4 linked regions of the Arabidopsis thaliana genome follow. The protein of the gene in region 1 interacts with the protein of each later gene in a pairwise test. Each region holds a gene or a part of one and is shown on either strand. Other genes may lie near its edges. The genes, in order: CSP3, AT3G23390, PTAC16 and DCP5.

Evidence for each region.
Region 2: the proteins of CSP3 (region 1) and AT3G23390 interact in a two-hybrid assay, tested with the Arabidopsis thaliana proteins (one study listed by BioGRID).
Region 3: the proteins of CSP3 (region 1) and PTAC16 interact in a two-hybrid assay, tested with the Arabidopsis thaliana proteins (one study listed by BioGRID).
Region 4: the proteins of CSP3 (region 1) and DCP5 interact in a two-hybrid assay, tested with the Arabidopsis thaliana proteins (one study listed by BioGRID).

The regions. Positions count from the first base shown.
Region 1 is NC_003071.7:7,763,015-7,767,139, forward strand, and holds CSP3 (cold shock domain protein 3), read right to left. Parts: upstream 2,263-4,125; 5' UTR 2,168-2,262; coding exon 1,262-2,167; 3' UTR 514-1,261; downstream 1-513. Other genes in the region: AT2G17860 (Pathogenesis-related thaumatin superfamily protein), read right to left, coding at 1-4.
Region 2 is NC_003074.8:8,373,338-8,376,987, reverse strand, and holds AT3G23390 (Zinc-binding ribosomal protein family protein), read right to left. Parts: upstream 1,656-3,650; 5' UTR 1,562-1,655; coding exon 1,559-1,561; intron 1,342-1,558; coding exon 1,162-1,341; intron 984-1,161; coding exon 909-983; intron 824-908; coding exon 764-823; 3' UTR 552-763; downstream 1-551. Other genes in the region: FIB4 (Plastid-lipid associated protein PAP / fibrillin family protein), read left to right, coding at 1-47, 138-352; RIC5 (ROP-interactive CRIB motif-containing protein 5), read right to left, coding at 2,280-2,702, 2,790-2,890, 2,984-3,041.
Region 3 is NC_003074.8:17,226,906-17,231,764, reverse strand, and holds PTAC16 (plastid transcriptionally active 16), read right to left. Parts: upstream 3,124-4,859; 5' UTR 3,000-3,123; coding exon 2,583-2,999; intron 2,306-2,582; coding exon 1,838-2,305; intron 1,712-1,837; coding exon 1,643-1,711; intron 1,492-1,642; coding exon 1,433-1,491; intron 1,264-1,432; coding exon 744-1,263; 3' UTR 536-743; downstream 1-535. UniProt on the Arabidopsis thaliana protein: Probably involved in the regulation of plastid gene expression.
Region 4 is NC_003070.9:9,023,838-9,029,825, forward strand, and holds DCP5 (decapping 5), read right to left. Parts: upstream 4,119-5,988; 5' UTR 3,720-4,118; coding exon 3,569-3,719; intron 3,265-3,568; coding exon 3,164-3,264; intron 3,085-3,163; coding exon 3,010-3,084; intron 2,920-3,009; coding exon 1,960-2,919; intron 1,788-1,959; coding exon of another isoform or gene 1,768-1,787; intron 1,675-1,767; coding exon 1,603-1,674; intron 1,475-1,602; coding exon 1,301-1,474; intron 1,221-1,300; coding exon 1,110-1,220; intron 971-1,109; coding exon 779-970; 3' UTR 504-778; downstream 1-503. Other genes in the region: AT1G26100 (Cytochrome b561/ferric reductase transmembrane protein family), read right to left, coding at 1-28, 122-244; ICME-LIKE1 (alpha/beta-Hydrolases superfamily protein), read right to left, coding at 4,819-4,971, 5,058-5,148, 5,239-5,382, 5,492-5,557, 5,930-5,988. UniProt on the Arabidopsis thaliana protein: As a component of the decapping complex, involved in the degradation of mRNAs. Promotes P-body formation. Translational repressor.

The sequences.
Region 1 (4,125 bases):
CCATTGTTACCGTTTGATGTTGTATGATTCAGGAGAAGTTAGGGATCGTGTTTATATAAGAGAATCGGGGATTTGTGTTATGGAAAGTTTCATAATATCAATTTTCCCTATATGAGTTTTGCCATTACAGAATCCGATACATGTTCACTCATCATTTCCTTTATTTCAATATTCTCATTAATACTTGTGAAATGGAAATTACGAATCAAGCTAGTATACTTGTTATCCTTTTCGAAAATTATACATTTTTTTTTTATAACTATTTGTTGAGGATCTCTTCCTAAATTCAAAACTAGAAATTTAGATAAAGGTTAGAGGAGGAAAAAGCTCTCTTTTGTTTGTTAAGGAAAAAGTTATTTAGTTTAAAGACTTTGATAGGAAAGAGACATGTATGGTGTTGTGTAGTAAGTTAATTGTACTGGAATTGGTGGGATTTTGTATTAACGGAAATAAAGGAGGTGTTGGACATTAGAAGCTTGTCTTTGTATATGTTAAGAAAGATCAAGTCACTTCCAATAACAGAACACGTGGGATCCAAATGTTTATATCCGAAAGATTCAGCTAATCACAAGTGTAATTAGGTTAAAAAAAACTAACGGGATTAACTTCATCATCTTCTTAAAACATCACGGTAAGTAGAGAAAAAGAAACCACGAACTGACGAACAGGCATAGGCACTACAAGATCACGCACACCATGTCTCTCCTCTGTTCAGGAGATTCTCCTAAAACAAGATCTAAGTAATCTAAAATATCAAAAGATTATTCTTAAGCTAATATCTCTGTTTCATCAAGAACAAGAAAAACAGCAATGCAGAGTATAAGTAAACCAGTTACAGGAAAATCTTTAAGCTCTCCAACAAAGAGGAACCAAGAAAGACTTGTGACTCATCTCTTTGTATTTACAAGTTAGTAAAAAAAAGTCTCAAATCTTGGTATATAACAGAAGTGACCATAACAGATTGAATTTTCAAGTCATACAATCACACTCATTGCAAGGAAAGACAAGAAACTGTAAATAAGCAAGCACACATATCATTCAAGATCTCAAACTTATGGCATCAACAAAAGCAGTGAACAGGTTGCATAAACCAGTCAAAAGAGTAATATAGAGAGATCAAAAACTCCCAAAACAACCATTCTTAAACATCCTAAACGACTTTAGCAATCACATTATAGTCACCAAAAAGGAGCATTAGGTAGATTTTAATAGAAAACAAAAGAGGTTTATGAACATTACTCTTCTTCTTTGCATCTTTTTGTTAAGCAACCGAAGTACATTCCCTCGCAAAGTGACCTTCCTTGCCGCAGATGAAGCACTTGTTACTGCCACCGCCACCTCCGCTGCTTCCACTTCCTCTCCGATCACAGTCACGAGCCAAATGGCCAGTTCCTCCACATTCGTAACAAGCACGACCACCACCACCACCACCAGAAGGTATCTTGCTGGTGCAAACTTTCGCAATGTGGCCAACTCCGCCACAGGTATAACAAGTGCTTCCACCACCTCCAACGTTTCCACCGCCGTTTTGCCTACAATCCCTAGCGAAATGTCCCACACCACCACACATGTAGCATCCATCACCGCCAGATCCACGACCACCACCTCCTCCGTATCTGTTTCCACCAGAACCACCACGACAATCCTTTGCCAAATGACCAACCTCACCGCAACTGTAACACGGACGACCACCTCCTCCTCCTCCGCCGCTGTTTCCACCACCGCTTTGCCTACAATCCCTAGCGAAGTGTCCCACATCACCACACATGTAACATTCACCTTCGCCGCCAGATCTACGACCACCACCACCTCCAAAGCTTTTCCCACCACTTCCACCGTCACAATCCTTAGCCATATGACCAACCTCACCGCAATTAAAACAATTACCTCCGGATCCACGGGAGCTGTTTTCCTTCTTATTAAGTGAACCGCCGCCGGGAGCAGTAACTTCAATGGCCTTAGTCTTTCCGTCGCTTCCAAGCGCGATTTCGTATTCAACCGATTCACCAAGAGTCAAGCTACGGAATCCATCGGAGACAATTGAGGATTGATGAACAAAAAGCTCTTCGCCGCCATCATCGGGAGTAATGAAACCGTAGCCTTTTCCATCGCTAAACCAACTAACTTTTCCGATAGATCTCGCCGCCGATTGATCTTCCATCGCCATTAGATCAGAGAAAAAGGTTAACAAAAACTCGAAGCACTTTGTTCGTACAAAGAGAGGAAATGGGTAAAATGAAAACCCTAAATTGCTACTTGCTAGATCTATTAACCCCAAATTGACCTTAAATTCGCCACGTCAGCTCCTTCTCTATCGGCGGCAGTTACCACGTGTGCATTTTGGATCAGGCCCATGGTTCACATAATGAAATGGGCCTATTTATGTAAGAGTTTCAAAAGAACTAAGCAAAATTGATAAGGTTTGATTTCACACTAACTTTAAAAAAAATGCTTGAGATGTTTTATCATCTCTTAACCATCCCCAAACTCTGGGAATTGGATGAAAATGCAGTCTATAATTATCACTTTTTGCAAAAAGAAAGGGATATTCATAGTAAATCTAAAGTAAATATGACATGATTTAGATTATTATGTTATACTTCTACTAGAAGAGAAAGTGTTTCACACTTTTGGTTGTTTTATCTAAACAATATATTATATTTTGATATTATATCTATTTTTATGCAACTTATTTTGCATCCAAATTTTCAATATCCCAGCTCACTTTTTTAATTCAATGAACCAATACATGGATGATATTATCCGAAGTTCAATTGTGAAGAAAAAAATGATTCGATCATATTTTCTTCTAGAAGCAAGAAAAAAAGAACATCCCAATTACTTAAACTAATTATTGGATATCTATCGTCTATTATATATATATATATATTATATATTTTGATAATGTATGGTGTCGAACATCAACAATCTTCTGCTTCCCATTGTTTATGGACAGCATAGCTTTTGTCATGACAATGCTATACTTAAGAAAATGACAAGAGTTCCTTTTTTTATTTATTTTTCTTTTAATGACAATAGTGAATTTATAATTACTTTTTTTTTGTTCACATTTAAAATAGTTATATATATGTGAAAAGAATATGAGTTTTTTTTTGTAAATATTATGAAAGATTCGTGAGATGCAAATGTTCCAGAACATGGCATGTTGAAACAAGAGTGACACATGGATTATGATGACGAGAAGAAAAGAACCTTGTCTGTCGTATTTGCTTAGCTATTTTGGTGGCCCTGGTGAAGGCAATTTAAATTGACTATAATTATTATCATCATAAACGTCATGTTAGTATAACTCTGAAATTCTGAGCAAGAAATTTGACCCAATGTTAACTCTTTGAAATACCGTTATTTATATAACTTTTACCCAAAAAAATTAGAATCATAAAATTAACCCATGCATGCATACCTAGTTGATTGCACAACGTTCAAACTAAAAATGTTTATAACGCCCATAGAAAAAACTCTCAGTAACCCTCCACATACACATATCACATACATCGGAATTCACGATATGCGATTGTAACGTCTCTAAAAATTACTCTTTTCACAGTCGCGTGACAGGAAAAAATTCACTGCCACCAAGGCAAACAACGTTATCGAACTTTCGATAGACTAAGACCATGAATGGTAACATAGACCACACCCAAAACCGCACCGCAACAGTATTAAAATCTTTACATATATATGTATTTATGTATTTTTGTTACTATTTGACATAGATCTTCTTTTCTTTTATTGTCGATGTCGGCTGATTGTGCGACTAGAAAAAAAACACTCCCAGCTTTTTAAATTAGGTGACTACAACATAATACAACTAAAATTTTCTAAGAATGCTATATGATTTCAGTATGTAAATCTTACCTGTAACAAAAAAAATCTGTTTCTCCAAGGCTACATACTATTGATTGCTAAGTTGGAACACTTTAAGTTATACATAAATTTTTATTTTCTTTATTAGATGGTAAATACTAAATACAGACTACTTACTACTTATGGATACAAAGGCTAAAAACGCGACAGATCCTACGTGGCACGATAAACCGTGTTGATCCTACGTGGCACAACCACCCAGAATCTCTGGGTTTGCTCTAATTACAACCAATTCAA
Region 2 (3,650 bases), on another chromosome or scaffold:
GCCATTAGAAGCCACTGCGACATTGGCACACAAGTTTGAACTCTTAGGTTTGCATTTCCCTTTCTCTCATTAAGTTTATCGAATTGTGTAAGAGCAAAATAACTTATCTGTATCTTTGACATTTATGGGGAAAACAGGCACTTGCAAGATCAAGATAACATTTGAGAAAACAACTGTGAAGACATCGGGAAACTTGTCGCAGATTCCTCCGTTTGATATCCCGAGGCTTCCCGACAGTTTCAGACCATCGTCAAACCCTGGAACTGGGGATTTCGAAGTTACCTATGTTGATGATACCATGCGCATAACTCGCGGGGACAGAGGTGAACTTAGGGTATTCGTCATTGCTTAATTCTCAAAGCTTTGACATGTAAAGATAAATAAATACTTTCTGCTTGATGCAGTCTCATGAGTTTTGTACAAATCATGTGAACATATAAATGCGCTTTATAAGTAAATGAGTGTCTTGTTCAATGAATCATATGAAAGAATTTGTATGACTCAGAAAATTGGACAATGATATAGACCTTCCAAATTTTGCACCCTCTAATGTGAGATATTAGTGATTTTTTCTTAGGTTGGTAGAGAGAACGGATTGGCAAAAAAATATCGAAGGTCAATGATTAACAGCAAAACCATATCTTGATGATTCAAAATATAGAGTTAACAAGCAAAGATGAGACAATCTTATACGAGAGAGCTAAAACAAATGGATTCCAAATCCAGCAAGTACAAAAATCGCAGAAAATAAGATGAAACCAACTTAAAACAGAGATGTTCCCTTTCCCTTCTTGTCACCACCGATCTCGAAATGCTTGCACCTCTGAAATAAACAACAAACCAACACAATGTAAGCAAATTACCAAGTTACAAATCCGGTATAATGAACTGATCTATGTTCTATGCACCTTGATAGGACGCTGCGAAAAGTGCTTGCAGCTTTGACACTGAAGCCTCAAAACAATCTTCTTCGTGGTCTTAGCCTGTTAACAAGATTCACAAGATGTATCTCAGTCCAAAACTGAGACTATTGGAATGTCTGTTTCCTCACAGCTCACTTCCAAAATTCTACTATAAATGGTTCCTTAAAACTACCTCATTTCAACTAACTAGACCTAATTCAAACTGAAAAAACAATCAATGCATGATAATCAATGTTACCTTTTTGTGGAAGACAGGCTTAGTCTGACCACCATAACCAGATTGTTTACGGTCATAACGACGCTTTCCTTGAGCAGCAAGACTGTCTTTACCCTTCTTGTATTGGGTAACCTTGTGCAAAGTATGCTTTTTGCATTCCTTGTTCTTACAGTAAGTGTTCTTTGTCTTTGGAATGTTCACCTTCAAAATTCATAAAATCAAAAATGAATCACTCACACACATACAAAATCAAGAGACTTTTAAGGTTAATCAAAATACAAACATCATTTAGATTGAAAACTTTTATGATAGATCTGAAAAACAATACAATAAATCAATCAACCATGTATTGTTGTTCTTCAAAGTCAACGAACTTTACAAATTCCAAAATCACATCGAAAGAGAAGAAACAATTTACCATTTTCGCGTCTCTGATCTCCGGTGAAGCTTTTGTGCCGTCGTCGTTCCACTAGACGAAGTTGTTTAAAGAAGAAGAATTTATAGTACACTTTCTGAAAACCCTAATCTGACTTTGGGCCTTAGGTTTAACTAATAAGGCCCATATATAGTATAAGGATTGGTCATAAACAATGGGCCCATCTGTATGTCAAAGTCCTTTATGAGTTTTTGTTTCCTATTGATTTTTTTGCTTTTTGAATTAAATCGTCAAGACCCTGGAACTAAAGTTGAAGTGATCAAATGAAATCAAAAGCATCAAAAACAAAATTCAGTAGAAAAAAATGATTTACTTTTAAGTTTTGGTTTCGTTTGAACCAAGAAATAAAAACCTATTATAACATGTAAACGCAACAAACAATCGAAGCCCAATAGATATGTCAAACACACTCAAGTCTATTACTAATTGAATCCTAAGAACACAATCGAAAGATTCCTTGAGAATAATTTAAGAGTGTTAAGCAAGCATATATTTCACATCCCTGGTTCACAATCATCAAAGGGTTCTCTTTTCTCGACGCGATATAAAACATTGGTCTTGTAATGCAAAGGCATTTCCAACAAAAGGGAGAGAAAAGACTAAAGTGTGTAGATCAATCATGAGAAGAAACAATACCACCACCACCACCACACTCTAGTCTAATCTTGAAAATATAACACTCTCTTTCTTTGTTCCTCATCTTTCATCTTCCTGTAGAACTTCCAAGACCCGCACAAGGGTAAACCGCTCTCACAGATATATCTGTTTCTTTCTTGTTTGATGGTTCATTAGATGGAGGAGGTTCGCCTCCTCCTGTTGCTGATCCTTTTGACTTTTTTTGCTTTGATTGTTTTGGTACAACAAACTGATCAGTCTGTTGAGGTAACTCTAATCCTGAACCTGACTCTGACCCTGAACCCGTGTTCTGCTCTCTTTGTTTCCCCGTGTTGCGTTTTGATGGCCTTACTGATCCTCCTACCCTTGATGGAGATTCTGTAGGTGAGTTGTTTCCTGTTGATGTTTTACGTCTTCCCTTCCTATGTTTCTCCCCGGAACTCCCAGGTTTTTTGTTAGATGTTCCTTTCGTCTCAGTCTTCGTTTGATCGGTAGGCTTGAAATCATGCATCTGCATATTCCCATGAAAATATTTGACCTAATCCACAAACAAAAGATATGTAGAATATGTTATAAAAATATTGAGAGAAGGATATACCCAGCTTGGGGTGGTAGCTGAGGGCCCTTCCCATCCTATATGAGCAACATGTTTGACATCGGTTGGTATTCCAATCTGCATCTCTGGTTCCTTCTCATCCTCTACAACAATTTTTTTTTATAAGATTTAAGAATCTGATTTTTGGTAATTGTATAGACATATATGATCTTTGTTTCGAGAACAAATAAACTCACCGAAGATACGAGCAATGTACCTCAAACCTTTTAATAGACCCTTCATAGGTGAGGTCATATTCAACTTGCAGATGCATACCTAGCTTGCACACCAAGGAAAAAAAATAAACATTTTTTCATAAATTAATATTTTTTCTTTGAGATTCTTCTTCTCTTAGGGATACAACTTTCGGTAATGCATAGATTGGCCAAAGAATTAAATTGTTTTTGCGTGAATCCTATTGCGATAAGAATCTTAAGAAAAATAAAAAAGAACTTACATGTTTGTGGAGTAGATAAAACCCTATTTAACAAAGAAATAGATTCATATAGATGTCCAAGAGCTATGAGTTTCTGCAAATTTGAGAGGAATATATAAACAAACGATAAGATAAAAAACACACACATCTATTTCTGTTTGGAGAAGAAGAAAATGATACCTGGTTAAGAAAACTACACAAAATGTTACTATCTTCAAATCAAAAAGTTTTTTTCTCAAACTTATTTGTGTTGTTATCTTGTTTCTTGTTTTGTTTAAGAGAGAGGTAACGTAAGAAGAAAGAAATCTCAAATGTTGTCCTCTTTGTTCGATCACAAAGGCTCTCTTTTTTTCTTGCCTATTTCTTTTTTACATATGCATAAAAGCTACGTGGCGGATGATTATTGGATGTAGAAGTTGGAAGTCAAA
Region 3 (4,859 bases), on another chromosome or scaffold:
TCAAATTCGAAAAAGAAATTGTCTTCTTTTTTTTTGGAAAGAAAAAAAATGGAAACAAACGAATTGACATTAATTAGTTTAAACATGCAATATAAAAGAAAACACAAGAGTCTAAAAACACAAACACAAGAAAGAAAACACAAGAGTAGTCAGTTTCTGCACACGAACACAAGAAAGAGATATTAAAGATGCCAACGGCTGCGATCTTAATTCTGGCGTATTCTGCATTTGTTTGGGTTTTGATAAGCTATTGTAGCAGCCGGAACAATAATGTTTCGAAGAAGATTGCTACCAGACCAAGCGGCATAGGATTAGGAACTGGAACGATTTTCTTCATAATCTTAGCCCTAATGGCTATGATGTTCTTAAACAACAACGCTGGACGAATTCAACACGGTATCAATGAACAAGCTGATGGGATTTAGATTCTTGTAATCATCTTTTTCTTTCTCTTCATGCTTTATCTCAAAGGCGGTTTTTGATTTCTTTGTTTTAGTTTGGATTATGTATTTTAGGGATTAATAAAATATACATTCGGATGTGATCTTCTTCAAACTTGTATTAAGAATTTAATTGAGGTGAATCAAATTAAAAACTTGTGTTATATCAAGGGATTTAAAGAGAGAATGATGGTTTTTTATGTATAATTTTGTCATACGATTACAGAATTTTAACTTGAAACAGAAGGAAAGAGAAAAAAGGAAACTGTACGGAACTTCAAAAGGACATCGCATATGGCCTTTTCAATCATCGTCGATGTAGATGGTCTCTTGCTTAAACAATCCTCCGAACACTTTCCTCACCTCTTTCTCCGGCTTCTTCGGACGTTCTTCTTTCGGTTTGGATGCAAACGGAGATGATGGTCTCTGCTTCACCACTGCTTTCTTGGGTGGCAAGTTTCTCGCTTTTGCTTGTCCTCTGACCGTAGCAACCTGTACTTTAGGCGTCTCTGAAGCGTTCTGAATCGCAGTTGCGAACTGAGAGCCGAGTTTATTCCAGGAGAGACCTGAGCTGATATCTTTCGCCTTGTTAAATAAACCGTCCACTGTGACTCCCACGGCATCTGCTTTCTGCTGCGCATCCTCAGCTAAGCTTGCAGCTTCTGCTTCTTTCTCAGAGAGCTTTTGCATTTGCTTCTCAAACTCTTTCGCTGCTTCTGCTGCCTCTCGAGCTTTGTCAGCTGCAACTTTAGCTTCTTCCTCTGCTCTTTCCCTTGCGATCGCATCTGCGTACACTTTTCTCCTCCCATCTTCCGGGATTACACTATCATTAATTCATAGATAATGTTTCATTAAAAGAAGTTAACACAAACGTTTATCTAAGCTAGAAACACTCTATCGATCGAGAACGCGTTTAAATCCGAATTCGCTAGTTTTAAGATCATTATATTATTCCAATGACTTTTGAATCAATCAACAGAGGACTCATTTACCTGAAAAGCTCGTCCACTGGCCGCGATGGTGCTGATGGATCTGTAGAAACTTCCACCACCTGCAAAAGGACACACAAAACAAAGCCGATGCTTTTGAGTGAAAACACAGATATAATTTAATTCAACGGAGATAATTCTTGCCCTAGTGTCTGCGTTTGTATGATGAACAATCACAAACTTGACTGGTAAGTTACTTGTGCTATACGCTACCTTATTTTCTGCCACGGCCGTATTCGCAAAAATGTCTGCAACCAGCGACGCAATCTTCAACTTCGGAACCTGGTCACAAACAGAACATCAAAACAAGTTAATAAAACCATTAATCAAAACCAATTTATAACCAAATGATTTCGTTTCAATGTAATGTATGATAATAATCCCTTTTTATCGCATACATTACATTACTTTGTAGGCCTCGGACGAACTACTGCCACTGCCGCTGTTACTCCCTTCAGCTGAAACGACGACGTTATAAGCTTTCTCCGGAGAGAAATCCTCCGTCAAACTCGTCTTTATGAGTGTGTAGGCCACGTCGGTTTGAGCTACTTTCTCGATGAGGTCAGAGATAGTCAATGGCTGAGATTTTGCGAAAAGATTGCCGAAAAACGAAGTAATCCCGTCGAGCACGTTGTATGTGGACCCGCTGATGGTGCCGTCGTAGACTATCGCCACGTGGCTTACGCCGGCTAGCTCAGCTGCTTGGACCACGAGCAATGCGTCTGAGGTCGAAACTTGGGCGTCCGGACCATTCTCTGTTGCCCCGACCGTAACAACAACTTTGGTTGCGTTTCCAATCGCTTTTGCTATTGATTCAGCGTCTTGGAAGGGGGATTGAACTGCGTTTAGCCTCTTGACTTCATCATTTGATAAAATCTGTTGAAAAGCTGATCGTCAAACCATAAATCAAAGCTCTAAACGCCACCAAATTCGTAATCACACGTTAATGTGAATTATTACGAGTGACACACTGACATACAGTACTTACATAACATTACATGCGAAGTTAAAGCAATTATTAATACCAAACCGAGTTTGCGTATCGCTAAATCTTAAATCCAAAGTGCGATTGCGACCAAATATCAAGATCAACATTATCGCGTTTAGAAAATTGACAGATTATGAATTAAAGGACTTAAAAACAAAACCGGACCTTGTAAGTAGCCGCGACACGAGCTAGGTCCTGGGCAGCTCCAAGGTCAGGAACACCGGCTCGAACACTGAATCCTCGTTGTAAGAGCGTTTGAGCTATGCGTATACCAGCTTGTCCCGTAGCACCAGCCACAAAAATAGTACCAGGATCTTTCTTTCTGTTATTACCAAACACTAAACCGGTAGAAGGATTCGTCACAACCGGTATCAGTGACTTCATGTCCGGTAACTTACCGAAATCAAACTGGAACGGGTTCTTCCCTTTTTGTTTCCCCTCCGAGTCATCATCACCCTTCGTTTTCCCGAGTTGAAACGCCGTTTGCTTAGCCCACACGGTTAACCTCGGTTTTCTCCGGTTAAACCTGACACCCTGCGGTGGCGCGGTGGTTAACGGGAATGAAGTTGAACTTGAAGCCATTAAGAGGAGGTCGACGAGCTTAGACGTTTTGCTTGTACCTCAAGTAAACAATGTGGATGCCATACATTGAAGATGAGACACCATGGCGAGTGCAAAAAAGACTTTCGTTGTTTGTGTTTTTTACGGATGATGCTTTTGTTATCCAGAACAGATTCATAGCCAATAATAGAATGCCACGTCATTAACATATCTTGATGTGGCTTGGTCTGAACTTTTCGCCACAGAATCTTGATCCTGCGGGCCCAGATATTAAAATACTTTCAGCTTTGCTACAATATTTTCACGTAATATCATTTGTATCCAAAATGAAATTAAAGTTAAATCAGAATTTGATATCGGTTTTGAGGGATCAGTTAAATCAGAGAACAGCGATCAAGTTAATAGAGAAAATCATCGAATTTGAGACTGTTTATATTTATTATATTTTTCTATACAAATAAATATTCCTAAGCAATTGTGTTTTGCTAATGAACTTTTCAACTGAATGAAGAAACTGACATTTCCAATTCGAACAGGAACCGGAAGACACGCGCTGATTAATCTAAATCGGAAATCTGAAGAAACGGTTTAATAAAAACTGGGACATTCAGTTAGAGAAATCTATTGTATTGGTTTTTTCTCCTCGTCTTCCTCTAAAAACCTTCTTTTATCGGTTTTTGCACTAACCAGACTCAGATGCTGCAATTTGCAGTGGTTTTGTATCATCGTAGCAAAAACAAGCCGGAGAGAATCTCAGAAAATTCAATAGATTTTTATTCGGTTAGTAGTTATTTGCAATAATAATGTAAAATATGTATGTGTCTCGTTAAAAAATTTGATGTGATTGACCGTCATGCATAAAAAGAAAAAACACTTAAAATTAAAAGTTGACACTTATATAATCTTAGATATACGTATTAATTAAAATATAAATGATCTAAAATGTGCTGTTTTTCAATATTAATTTGAATACAATATTTTCAAAATATCAAAACTACTCTTATATTTTTGCAACGTCCTAGCAGATTTTCTGTAGATGATATAAATTTCAAGTTCGGTATATAAAATAGATTCACAACGTAATAAATCCTAATATAAACCCATCAATAGTGGGCCAAATATCATCAACGAAAGTTAAAATGATTCCAAAAATTAACTATCACCAAATCTTGTGATCCTTAAATGATTAGATGAATAAGAAATCTAATGTTTGGTTCATGGTATAGATTTTTTCTTTAAAAACTCACCATGTAAACCCTTATTTATAAATATGATCATCAATAGTCAAGTTTGACTTTCATATGATGAATTGTTATGAAATCAGATTAAAGTATTTTGCAAATGAATAATATATGTATGTATTAACTTTTAATGAATTAATATCATAATTGGATTATATACTATAAATATATTACATTATGTGATTTTTGTCAAAAATTATTCACAAGTTTGTGTATAGTTGTAAGATAACTGGAAAATTTTAACTGCCCTAATCTAAAATTTAAAGAAATAATTGATGTGTCACTATTTTAGGTTATGAGTGGATGATGTGTTTTAGCTCTAAGACTGTTCATCTTTCCATAATTTTCTCAACTTCATCTCTGATATACCTCGATTTTCACTGCTTTTAGCTATGATCTAGGTATAGTTTTTAGAGTTCTTTTGTTATTTGTAGAGTCTTTTCTAGTCTTTTTCAAGTCTTTACATGTTTGGGATGCATTTGGAGATTATGGAGCATTCTTGAACAAAACATACAACTTAGGCTGTAGAAGCAATCCTGAGACGAAAATTGACGTAGGTGTCAATCGACACAACCCCTGGTGTCGAGCGACACTAATACTTGACGGCAATTCAATTGCGCAATTTATTGAAGTTTTGAAG
Region 4 (5,988 bases), on another chromosome or scaffold:
CAATCACCATCAGCAGAGGATGAAGAGTCTACAAGGGTATAAAAACTTTATTAGAGAGAGAAAGAGAGAGAGAGAGAGAGATCCAATTTGATATCAACGAGGAAGGGAGTGTGATAGTTACAGAGTAGCTGAGTCCTAGATTAGGCAGGAAGAGAGCCCAGTACAGAACCGAAACTGCGACTACTAAACCGGACAGTCTCGCAAACAAGACCAATGATAGTCTTGAAGGATCTACACTTCCCATTTCTGTTTTCTCTCTTCAAAAGTTGAGTAAGTAGTGCTACTGTAGAGTACAGTGACTACAGTCTCTCAGACACTAGAGTTGCCGACAAAATGATAATTTGAGAAATAGAGAGGACATTTTATGGATCTTGTATAAAGAAGACCTCTCTATCTCTTAATAAGGCCCATTTGATTCAAGGCTGCTGGTACTGTATTGAAAGTCAAAATGTTTGACTTTTGAAATTTAGACAAGAAGCTACCAACAGTAAACAGCAACAAGCTATTGAGAGTAAATAGAAAATGCATTTCACACCAAATGTCGAGTATACAAAAGTTCAAAATAACATTGGATATAAGAAGAACGACGCTATTACCAAGTCTTAAAAACAAAGATCAGAAATCAAATTAATACACTCCAAAACCACACAAGTGGGGTTTTATAACAGAAAACATTACACGGGACTCGGTTTTTGTTTTATTGCCACATACCAAAAGCACTCAAGAGCTGAGCTCCCATTGGATTTTGAGTCTTTAGAGCCCTTTCTAGCAGAACAGTTTAGGTAGTACGATTTGATACGCCTCTCCCCTGGCCACGTCCACCATACCCGTAGCCACCGCCGCCGCCGCCACGGCCACCATAACCGCCATAACCACGCCCTCCATAACCACCACGTGAGTAACCGTTGTTTCGTCCATAACCACCACGCCCTCCTCGACCTCCTCGGAATCTCGAGAATTCACCAAATGTCTGAAATCATAGCAATACGTTCTGTTAGTCAATGGGATTCTCTTACGATTCTGGGAATTCGAGTATCTCCAGCAACGAGGGGGGACAAACTCTGTCCAGTCTGCTTGCTATTCAGAGTGTGGAAATATATAGATTGTACCTCAGTATCTAGTTTCCGTTGCTCTGAGAACCTAGGCCTTGAATTTTGGGACTCTCGGTCAATGGTGTTTGATGATAGGCTATCGAAAAAGTCATCTTTGTTGTAAACAGGCTACATCAATAAACAATGTGGATGAGACCAGAGAGGGAGAATATGGTGGCTTTACTTGATTATAAGTCTACTTCACTTACTTTGGCCTCGATCTTAGGAAGCTCAGCCTCATCTACAGTCGGGGAATCATCATCTTCATCACCATCTAAGGTAGTACTCTTCCCAAGATGACCCCATACTTCATCCTTATTGAACTTTTCGTTCATTGCTGTGAAATCAAAATCTTCAGTGAATTTCATTACTTGGTGTGATCTCTGCCAACAAGAAGAATTATTAGCATACATGGCTAAAGTTCATGAGCTATTTTAAACTGGTAGATCTTTTCCTTGGTAAAAACAAATAAATGCCGTCACATTCTACAAATGAGTGAGAAGAATAGTACCCCTGCTCCTCTTCCTCGTCCTCTTCCACGTCCCCTGTAACCATTATGATTTGGGAAAGAATGCCCGTTTGGCTGAGAAAAAAAATCAGCAATTGAGTTTAAATAATTTCACCATGAAGACTTATAAGTAGACATGCAAAGAAACCATCTTATACACCAAAGAACCCTGAGAGATTTTCATGCATCTTCAACAAAGCAAAAGAGACACAGCATGGAATATTAAAATGGGAATTACCACAGGTGCAGTTATAACAGTTACACCTTATTCCAGCTAACTAAGACACCAGCAAATTCAAGGTTCTTTATGATATTAATAAGAGACATTGAAGGATTTGGCATGTTATGTAAGTTAAAAACCTTCTGAGTTGGTCTTGCAGAGGAAGGCAATGGCAGTATTGGAGGTTGGGCTTCGGATGTAACTGGAACAGATTGTTCCAACCCAGCTGATGACGATACTTGAACCACCTCAACATCTTTATCAGCATTTGTCGAGGGTGGGGACAAAGAGACTGCAGAAGATCCAGACTGCAGCAGTTGACCAGGAGTAACCAACAAAGGTTTTGGCTTATCTTGGCTAATGGAACTAGAAACTCCCGCAACAGGAGCAGATGTTAATGGTGTTGTCTGCGGCGGAGAAATTGGACCAGTTACTACACTAGGCTTGTTAGACAGTGGAAGGCCAGTACTTGCTTCTGTGGCTCTCGTAGTAGATAGAGAAAACGAAAGCAAATTAGTATCCTGAGGTAGGGTAGGAGGAGCAGTAATAGGAGCTTTGTTTGACAGCAACGGAGGTGCCATCTCTGAAGCTAGTGAAGGAGATGGTGCTGATTGCAGTGTAGACTGCAGGCTAGACGAGAGCGTCACAGGTGGTAGACCAGGGAAAGGCAATGAACTAGGAGCTAACATTTGAGAACTGGTACTAAAAGGAAACAATGAAGAGGGTGCTTCTGGCAAGCTTGACCCCTGCAAAGATGATGACCCAGTAGGTGGAGGAGGGGTATTAAAGTTAGGATATTGCAGGGGTTGCTGAAGAGAGTTGGGCATTGGCAGCCCATGAGGGGGTCGAATCAGAGACTGCTGATGCAATTGGGGAAGGCCATTGGGAGGTGGGGTGTAGAAACCTTGCCAATACATTGGTGGTTGTGGTGACGCTCCCCATGAACCAAGATTTCCACCAGGCTGATACAAAGGCATTGCGTTTTGAAATCCCATTCCATGTTGTCCAGGTTGTCCATTATGAGAACTAATGTCAGGTAGTGACCCGCTCGCAGTAGAAGGCAAGCTACCAGATGTTGGCATCGGGCTAGGGTAGTGAGACTGCAAAACCAAGACAAGTGGAGGATGGGGTTACATCAATTGACTCCAAAATCCCAGACAATGTAATCTTACAACTTTTCTAACATTCACCTGAATTATAGCAGGGTCATTATTTATAGTAGATGCAGGAGGCTGAACTGGTGGAGAAGCTTTGACTTGCAAATCCTACCAACAACAAGAACAATCAGAGTACAAAATCGGCAGGCTACTTACATAGAAGTATTAGCATAATCCTGCTGAATACCTTGATATCAGTTCCACGGAACAATATGTACTCGTAAACTTTGTCACTTGGAGGAACTTGTGGACCATCTTTTTTCCTTCCTTCAGTTCCAAATGATCGAACTACACACAACAAAAGTTCAGGGATCAGAACCAAAATCTACCTCATCGACCACTTAAACACTGATCTTTTATGCTCAACCAATAGTTTCAAGACATCAATTACAATTTGAGAACTCAAGTAATAGACATGAGCACTAAAACAACATTCCTTTCAAATCGAGCTAAACAGTTCAGATTGGAGAAAACTTTCTTAACGATTAACGGAAGAAACCATTAGTTTCTACCAAATCCGAGAGAAAACACCACCAAAATTAACACTTAACAAATCTGGTAATCCCGAAACGGAAGTGGAAACGGATCGTACCGTTTTGAAGTCCGATACTGGATTCATCTGTATTAATATTGTAAAGGATCCCTTCGTATCTGATCTCACTCTTAGATGTCAAACTAATCAAGCTCCCAACGTAAGAATCCGCAGCGGAGCTCGATTTCGAACCCGTATTATCAGCCGCCATATCCGATCTATGTCTCTCTTCGCCGACGAAATCACAGCCAAAGAGAGAAAAAACTAAAAGACAAGAGAAGGCAAACACACACACACACACTTCGAGTTCCTTGATCTCCTTCTTCTTCTTCTTCTTCGCGAGAGAGAGAGAGAGAGAGAGAGAGAAAGCTACAGATACACAATTAGGGTTTACTCTAATTTGGGGAGATCGAGCATCTCTTTTTTATTATCCATTCCCATAAAAGCCCAATTCAGAAAATAATATCAATCTGACCATTATAGCCTAGTATGGCTCCATTGACTTCTCTCTAATCACTAACCGAAGTATGCCTCGTGTACACGCGAAGGGTTTATTTCGTAATTCACCGCCAATGGTGTGTTTAGGCGAGTAGCTACGAGCCTACTCGAGCCATTCCAATCCCACGGCTCGTGTTCTGATTGCTTACTCTGGTTAGAGTTTATTATTTTATTTTGGTAGGATGGTTAGAGCTTATTATTTACATATTAATCCTAGTATCAAATCTAGTGTTATTCATAAATTAAAAGGCCTTTTAAAAAATGAATTTTGAGAAATATTTTTGGTGATTTCACCTACATTTTTAGTTGAAAATTGGGGTTAAGAAAATCACACCTTTTTTTGTCAAGAAAATCACACCTTTTTTTCTCAAGAAAATCACACCTTTGGAGAGTTTTAATTATTAAAAAAAAAATCAGACCTACATTTCTTCCTTGTTAAATGACACTGGTTCGGCACTTTGTATATAGGTAGAGAAGTCAACTGATGCCAAGAAAATAGTGCAACCAATGATTAATGATCAGAGAAGAAGAAGACCAAAGACAGTTTAATTAAGGTGACAAAGTCAATGAAGCCTTGTTTCTTTAATGCACTTTCAGTGTTCTACAAAAACACAAACAGGCAATGACGAAATAATCAGTGTATTTGCAAACCGGGATACAATATCATCATCATCAAAGTTCAAAATCATCTGTATCGTCAAAGTATAGTGGGATCTGTTTTCCTTGTTAAGTAATATGCACATTGACCCGTCTGTATCACTGGAAGAAGGAATGTACTTCCTTTGATCTTCTGGGAGATAAGAGTGTAGGAGTTAGAACGGACTGACCCAGTGAGCCAACTTCAACATGAATTCAGGTACAAGACGCCTTCTATCTACGCTTTTACCAATCGCTTCTTGATCGTCTCCCAGAACCACTGTTACTATATCTTCAAACATCTCATCTATTCCACCTCTCATTGGATCCTAACATAGATAACCAAGTTTCTAGATCAAAATTCAGGTTCTTGTCCGACAAGACATTCATACCTCAAAAAGACCGGCCATTTTACCTGAAGAAACAAATCCGTGTGTGTTTTCCCCTCGTAAAGGATCACTTTTGCTTTGGCCCCAAGCCTCTGGAGGGTTTCCGCAAAAGATTTACTGCAAAGATAGTGTAATAGAAGTTCAATCATCATCTTAACTTTCTGATATACATAAGACAGACAAATACACACAAAAGTTAAACCATACCTTGCATCTGACGGGATGGAGTAGTCATCAGTACCATGGAATAAAATAAAAGGTGGGAGACGAGCAATGATGTGTTTGAGATTCGGGTTTTGCACTACTAATTCAGGAGAGAACTGCCTTAATGATTCCTCTCCTTCCATGATGCTGAGGAAAATCAAACGTCACACGTTAAACTGTAAAAATTTCAGGCTGCTCTACTGGCCAGGTGAGTAACGTAAGCTATACCAAGATTCCAAAAGAGAAAATGCTATACCTCAGAAAGATGGAACGGTACAGCCCCCTGCTATGGAAGTGGTCCACAAGGTTCAAAAGGTTGTATCTGTAGATCACGATCACAAAGTTTGTTAAGAATAGCCAAGCAGATGATGTGAGGCCTCATCAAAAAATTTGTTGCTTTAGTTGGGTAGAAGGCAGGAATCTACTTGCTACTTTGAGCTAATATTTGACCATTACTTCACCGTTCTACGAATTGCCTAGCATTTCTACAAAAGACCTTGGTGGCTAGATAAAAACTGGAGTTAACACATATATAAATACTCAGGCAATTAAAGAAACTTGTTTTTCTCAACTTCTTGACAGAAAAATTTACATTCCAATGTATCGTCTTATCCTTATAACTGGGAAGACCAAAATAACAAGTTATTAATCTAGTCATTTGAACTCTGAGACCAAAAGAAAGGATTTTGCTTACCCTCCAGATAGACCAAAATAAGCATTTATTTGTGAACTACTCCAAGAGACACTGTCCCC